Oryctolagus cuniculus: one gene and its partner. The protein of the gene in region 1 purifies or fractionates together with the protein of each later gene. This does not show direct contact. Links are inferred from orthologs where the notes say so. Each region holds a gene or a part of one and is shown in the gene's direction. Other genes may lie near its edges. The genes, in order: RPL26L1 and CTCF.

The links.
Region 2: the proteins of RPL26L1 (region 1) and CTCF purify together in Homo sapiens (affinity purification with mass spectrometry; 3 studies listed by BioGRID and IntAct, with this or other methods). This does not show direct contact. The link is inferred for Oryctolagus cuniculus from reciprocal best matches to the Homo sapiens genes RPL26L1 and CTCF.

Annotation. Positions count from the first base shown.
Region 1 is NC_091437.1:59,494,590-59,498,920, forward strand, and holds the start of RPL26L1 (ribosomal protein uL24-like), read left to right. Parts: upstream 1-1,366; 5' UTR 1,367-2,525; coding exon 2,526-2,678; intron 2,679-2,992; coding exon 2,993-3,169; intron 3,170-4,331.
Region 2 is NC_091449.1:50,882,010-50,884,931, forward strand, and holds the end of CTCF (transcriptional repressor CTCF), read left to right. Parts: intron 1-630; coding exon 631-815; 3' UTR 816-2,125; downstream 2,126-2,922.

The DNA of each region.
Region 1 (4,331 bases):
GATGGCCCAAGTGCTTAGGCCCCTGCTCCTGTGTGGGAGACCTGGAAGAAGCTCCTGGCTCCTGGCTTCACGTTGGCTCAGCATCAGCCATTGTGGCCATTTGGAAATCATAGGATGGAAGACTTCTCCCTTTGTCTCTCCCTCTCTGACTCTGCCTCTCAAATAAATAAATGATCTTAAAAACAAACAAACAAACAAACAAAAAAAAACAGGCAGACTTGGGGCAGAGGAGGGTCCTTAAGGATTCTGCAGACACATTATGGGGCGTGTGCTGTGGCGTAGTGCCTGTGGCACCAGCATCCCATATGGGCTCCCATCCTTGCCCCTGCTGCTCCACTTCCTGTCCCGCTCCCAGATAATGGCCTGGGAAAGCAACAGAAGATGGCCCAAGTCCTTGGGCCCCCGCATTCAACATGAGAGACCCGAAAGAAGCTCCTGGCTCCTGGCTTCAGCCTTGCCCAGCTTCGGCCACTGTGGCCATTTGAGGAGTGAACCATCAGATGGAAGACCTACCTCTCTCTATAACTCTTTCAAATGAATAAAAATAAATCTTAAAAAAAAAAAAAAAAAAAAAGCGTGTGCAAGTGAGTTAGTAAATGAATGCGGGAACAGAGAGGGAGCCAGTGAGAGGCGGCGCTTGCAGGGAGTGCACATGCTCTGTAAGAGCTGCCCTGGGGCGGACCTTGGTCCCCTTCTGTGTGCCCTTGGTCTTGCCCGCCTCTGCCCCTGCACTGTTAAAGGTTAAGTGACTTCTTCTTTCCTCATCACAGGCCCCCCCCCCCCCCCCCCCGCAGCCCCAGTAACCTCCCTACTCCTGGATCAGGGCACGCACACTGGGTGGCATTGGGGTTGCTGTTGCCTCAACTACTGTAAGGGCAGGCAAACAGCCCAGGAGTGGCCATCCTCCAGAGGTCTCCAAGGCTGGCTGCAGAGGATCTAGGGCAAAACCTGAAGTAGGATCCAGATGGTGCTGGGATCCACACTGATGCCTTGTGATCCTGCCTACCAGTACATACTGGCGTTTAACCATTTCACCACCAGTAATAAACTGAGAGTGTGGCTGAGGGATGTGGGGCAAGACATCACCCTCTCTGAATTCCAGGGTCTCCTTCCATCAACTCATGTGCAGCGTCTGGCACAAGGCAGTCGTCCAATAGATCCAGGACCAATGAATGAATGAATGGGAGGGTTAGCGGTAATGAGCGAATAAGACCTTGCACAGAATAAGCCTTTTGGAGGCCCAGAGCCCTTCCCTGTCTCCCGGCCTTTGCGGTGCCCAGGAAGGGGACCTCCCGTGTGGTGGTCCACGCGTGCAGGCTCGCCAGGGCCGCAGATGTCTCAGCCTGTCCAGCCGCCAGGTGGCGCCCGCACCTCCCGCAGAATGGGAGGTGCAGGCCGGGAGGTGGGCGGCAGGACGCGGAGACGCGCGCGGCTCGGTCGCAGCAGGTGCGGCCAGGCGGAGAGGGGCGGAGCGGCGGCAGCAAGTCCAGCGGAGCACTCCGAAGCGGAGCACCCGGCACCCGAGTTGGTCCTTTTGGTAGAAAAAGGCTGATTGGTTGATTGATTTGACACAGGGAGAGGGCGAGGCGTGGGGCAGAGAAGATCTTCCCTCCACTGGGTCACTCCCCAGATGGCCACAACAGCCAGGGCTGGGCCGGGCAGGGGCTCTGTGCGGGTCTCCCCCGTGGGCGCAGGGATCCGACGACTTGGGGCCGTCCTCCGCTGCCTTCCCAGGCCATCAGCAGGGAGCAAGCAGCACGGCGTCCTGGGGCGCGGGCTTCTGGCTCACCTGCTGCACCAGCACACCCGCCTCGGTGATCGTTCCCGCAGCTACTGTAGAGGTATCACGCGTGATCTCTAGCCGCGCGGCAGAGTGCACGTGTGGGTATCAGACACAGAGAACTAACAGGAATTGATGATAAAGGTAGCCCGAGGGTAGGCACCGTGGAAAGCGGGGGCCTCTGATGTTTGACTGGGGCTGAGCGCCGCGTGCCAGGCTCGGCTGTGCCCACGCGGCATGGATGAGCTCATGTAGTCCTCGTGGCACCCCTGCGCGGCGCCTCCTGGGCCCGCCGCCATTTACAGAGGAGAAAACGTGGAGGCGTTCTCCTGAGGTCGGCCTGGGTGGCCCCTGCCCTTCACAACAGGGAGAAACCAGCAAACACAAGGGAGTTTTTGCAAAGTCCAGTGTTTGGTGCACAGCGATCCTCGAATTCTAGTGCACCACAAAATCCTCCGTGGATGGAAGAGTGACCCAGACCCACCATTGTCTGGTTCTGCACGACTTGTGATGGGGCCCGAAAGTCTGCATTTTAAATATGTTGCCTAAGACGCCAGTCCGCAGGCTGCAGGGGCATAGGGAGAGTATGGGGCAGGTGACGAACTCCCGACGGTGTGCCTGTTAAAGGAACCCCCGTGAGCCCCCATCGCGGACCCTAGGAAAACAGGCGCTTGTCTCCAGAGGCGCCACCTCTTGGGATTCCCGGCTTGAGGCCGCGCCGGGCTCTCCCGCCCCGGGGAACGAGATGCTGCAATCCCACCCCGGGCCGCAGGGGGCGCCCGTCTGCTTGCTTCCAACGGGAAGGGTGCTTCTCGGTATCTTTCTGCGCTTGCGCGGCCAGGGAGCCCTACTTCCGGTACTGCGCGCGCAAGTCCTGAACGTGTTCGGTACCAAGGAGGTAAGTAGGAGTGTTTTGTGTGCAGCCCCTTCTCTCCGCGTGACCTTCAGCTAAGCATTCTCCCAGCCCAAGCGTCCCTCCCTCAGCCGCTCCCCGCGACCCCTTTGGTCAGGCATGCGCCCCCGACTCAAGTCTTCCTATGTATGGTCCAGACCACGCGCACACCCAACTCTGCGTCCTCCGTCCGCTTCCTCCGTGCCGGTGTCTGCCCCTAGAGCACTTGGGCGGGGACGAGGAGGGGCGTCTCGGATGGGGAAGAGGCCGCCGAAGCCCACCGCGCGCGCCCTCGCTCCCCTTGTCGCCGCCCTCCGCAGACCGTCACCATGAAGTTCAATCCCTTCGTGACCTCGGACCGCAGCAAGAACCGCAAACGCCACTTCAACGCGCCGTCGCACGTGCGCAGGAAGATCATGTCGTCCCCGCTGTCCAAGGAGCTGCGGCAGAAGTACAACGTCCGCTCCATGCCCATCCGCAAGGACGACGAGGTCCAGGTGCGTGTTCCCCGGCTGCGGGGCGCCTGGGCACGAGAGCGTGGTGCGTGCCCGCCGGGGGAGGGGGCTGCAGCCTGTCCCGCCCTGGGCGAGCTGTGTGACGCTGCAGGTGGCGCTAGGGCAAAGGCGGGGCCCACAGCCACCGGGCCGTGCCTGCCCCTCGATAATCAGAACAAGATGGGGTGCTGTCGGCCCTTTGATTGGGCCGCAGGGCTGCTGGTTTGCCAGGGGTGCTCAGGGTGGCTGGTCGAGCTAGGCTTTGCAGGCCCAAGTGCTGCTGTGAGTTCACCGGAAGTGATGGACAGGCATTTGGGGGGAGCGTCGGATGGTGCTGGATTTAGCAGGGGACACAGAGGAGCACGGCAGAGGTGCAAACATTTGGGAAGTTTGGGAAAGTAAAAGCCCTCTGTTGCCTGTGACTGGCACGGACCCTGAGTGGGAGCAGAAGTGACAGAGGAGAGTGAACTGGCCTCTACGGGCTATTTTTGCCTGCTGACCTGATGTTGTTCTGGAAGCTAGCGGTGAACAAGGTTGTCGAGGCTCGTGTTGTGGGATCGCGTTTTAGAGCAGGTGTCTTGACCTCAGCACGGTTGGCCTCTGGGCCCAGATCATTGGTGTGGGAGAGCTGCCCTGGGGAGCATCGCTGGCCAGTCCCCACTTGCAGTCCCCCTCTTCACAACTGTGACAAACTGTGACTCCAGATATTGTCAGACGTCCCCCGGGGGTACGGTGAACTCCCCCCTGAGGTTAGTGGGGCTTGGGGTATGTCAGGCAGTGGACTCTGAGGGCTGAGGGATGTGTTCGAGGAAGAGACTGGAGCACACTAGAATACGGCATGGAGGAAGGGAAAGCAGGGGTGGCTGGAGTATGAGCAGTAGTTGGTGCTCCTGTCTCTCCTTCCCAGCAGACACGTTCTAGAAGGGGGGACCTGCGGCTGACTGCTGGGGCTAGGCAGACAAGCTCAGTAAGGGAAGTGGGCCGCTGCTGAGAATGTGGGGAGTTCTTGCCTCACTTGCGGAGACAGGCTTGTGCCTCCAGCCCTCTGCCAGAGAGAAATCCGGGCTGTTGTCAGATTCTTTTGTTTTGCAAGGGCACAGGAAAAATGAGATTCTCTTCCCCGGCCCCACTTTGTGTTGCCCGTGAAGAGCCAGGGAAGAACTGT
Region 2 (2,922 bases), on another chromosome or scaffold:
GTGGAGCTGCTTGGTCTCGAACTGGTGCCTATATGGGATGCCAGTGCTTCAGGCCAGGGCGTTAACCTACTGCGCCACAGCACCAGCCCCTTAATTATTTTTTGAATGTTCTCCCTGAGCTCCAAGAATAGAGTTCTGTCAGAGAAAAGGAGGTTAAGTGCAGATCTTAGAAGCAGCTCTCCGGTTTCTTCTGCACACACTGGAGTGAGCAGACAGGTGGGAGGGCCTGGGTGTGGGAGAACTACAGAATCAGAAATGTCCGCTTGTCGTAGGTGTGTCACCTACGTCACACACTCTTCAAGTAGCCTTAGTCACATGCTGTCTCATTTCTTGCCTGCATCTCATAGTATCAATTTCTGACTTAAAACTAAGGATTTTTACGTGTAACTTGGGAGGCGTGTGAACGTGAATGTCAGCCTTTTGTGCTCTGATGGTTTTCAGAGAACTGGGACTCTGTGTGTCCATGTTCTGGGTCTCTCTAAGTCTCTGCTTTATTGACTTTCTCCGTGTCACTACTAAGGCTCCCTGTATGTTGCTATCCCGTGGACTGCACTGTGTAACAGGGTCTTGTACTCCTGGGGGCTTTAATGTACCTTTTGTTTTGTTTTGTTTTGTGCTCCTCTTTGCCAGCAACAGCCATCATCCAAGTTGAAGACCAGAATACAGGTGCAATTGAGAACATTATAGTGGAGGTAAAAAAAGAGCCAGACGCCGAACCCACGGAGGGTGAGGAGGAGGAGGCCCAGCCAGCTGCCACAGATGCCCCCAACGGCGACCTCACGCCTGAGATGATCCTCAGCATGATGGACCGGTGATGGTGGGGCCTTGCTGGGCGCCGGGACTGCTCTGGGCTGTGTTTAAACGGCCCACATCTTAATTTTTTTCCCTTTTTTCTTCTTTTGGCTTTGGGAAAAGCATCATTTTTACACCATTTTACCAAACAAACTGAGAACGAAAACTTCAAGGATGATGTTAGAAAAATGTGATTTAACTAGAACTTGCTGTTTGATGTTAACAAATCATGGAATGTCTGAGTCCCTGCGGGTTTACTGTGAAGTGCTGAGGGCAGTGTTGACGCCTGACTGGTTTCTGAGACGGAAACAGAGACATTGGCCCCTCTCTCTCAATACGGTAAACCACTCCAGAATGGCTGCCGGGTTTCCCAGAGTTCTCTGGTCTTCTTCCCAAGAGAGTTTTTAATTGTAAATGCAGACTTGGGGAGGCCTTAGACTTTTAACCTGTTTTTTGCTTTTGCTTTTTCTCTGACTCCTTGCTCGAGTCAGCTGCACACCAGTAGTACGGCATGCTACGATCGGTTACTGTCCTGAACGCTTTGCCTCTTTCTTGGCAGAGTTTCTGGTATGGTCAAGCTTGTAAATAACTTTTTTTACATTTTAATCTTTTCCATTAATTAAGAGGTTGAAAAGAAGTGCAGTGTGAGAAAACCCAGCATTTTAATTACTTGCAAATTAAGTTGCCACAGACTTGGTAGTGTGGAATTATTAAAGGAATTGGATCACAATCATGTAGCAGATCGGCACCCAGCCTGCCGCCCGCTAGTGACGAGCCTCCACATGGAAGATCATGATTTCCAGCCCATGGAGCCAGCATTTGAACTTTGTACAATTAACCTTCAGTTATGATTTCCCATTGACATTTTCTTTGCTATGTTTAGCAGAATGTTGCGTTTTACGAATCCCCTGTCAGAGCCAGAGGGTGACTATGAGTGGGTCACAGCAGTCCTGACATGCTGGGCCAGAAATTTTCACTAGGTCAGTAATTTAAACTTTGGATCTTCAAAAACAAATAATAATGTGAAACAAAACCAACTAAAAAATGATTGTTGCACATGAACTGTCACACGTTGAAAATGTGTTTTTTAGAGAGCCTCAGTCTTGCTGATTTCAAACACTTTTTTTCTTCTGTGTATTGCTTTTTAAGAGAGCCATCAGTTAGCTATCAGACTCTAGGTTGATGCATTTTGTACTTAGCTGTACTGTGTGATATTTTTCATTATTTTAGGATGCCAACACGAGACCTGTAATAAAATATGTAATGGGGTTGAAAGCTGGGGAGGAGGATCTACTGCTGTACAGCTAATAAATCATAACGGATTAACAAGTGCTCCGAGGACTCTTGTCTTGTGTGATTCCTGCCTGCTGGCCCCCCGAGGGGCTGGCGCAGAGCTCCAGGCCGTGCCGGCCTCCGCATCTTAGAGGCAGGCTGTGTTCCTGGGATAGTGCTTCCTCTCGGGCAGAAGGAGAGGATCTTATCTTGGAGGATGTCAGGATTGTGAGTGCATCCTGCTGCACATTTAACTCCGCAAAAATGGGTGTGAGGAGAGCATCAAGTGGATGGGCAGTGGCCGGCCTCCGTGGTCCGCCCGAGGAGCGGGTGCCCGCTGCACAGAGCTGTGGAGTTGTAGTTGATGGGAAGCCCTGTCTTAGGATCTTGGCTCAGGGAGGCTGGGACCACTACCTGGGGCTTAGCCAGGTACAGGGGAACAGGAGAAGCTGGGCCCAACCTGCCAGAAGTCCATTTGAAGCGGGAGACACCAGGATTGTACAGGGGCTACTGGTCAGCGCCACGATGATGGACGGGGACTTGGGTCGTGTTAGGAAGCTCAGGCTTCAGCTTGAAGGCATCGTGTAGCTGCTGGCTGTTTCCAGATGGATCGCTTTGGCAGTGTTGGGTTTTCTTAAATTCTTACTATTTACTCGAAAGGCAGAAACAGATCTTCATCCAATAACCATATCCCAGATGCCATCCATATCCCATCCATAACCCAGATGCCCACAACAGCTGGCCGGGGTTGGACCAGGCTGAAGCCAGGCCCTGGGAACTAACCAGGTCTCCCATGTGAATGTCAGAGACCCAGCTACTTGGGCCATCATCTGCTGTCTCAAGGTGCACGTGGCTGCA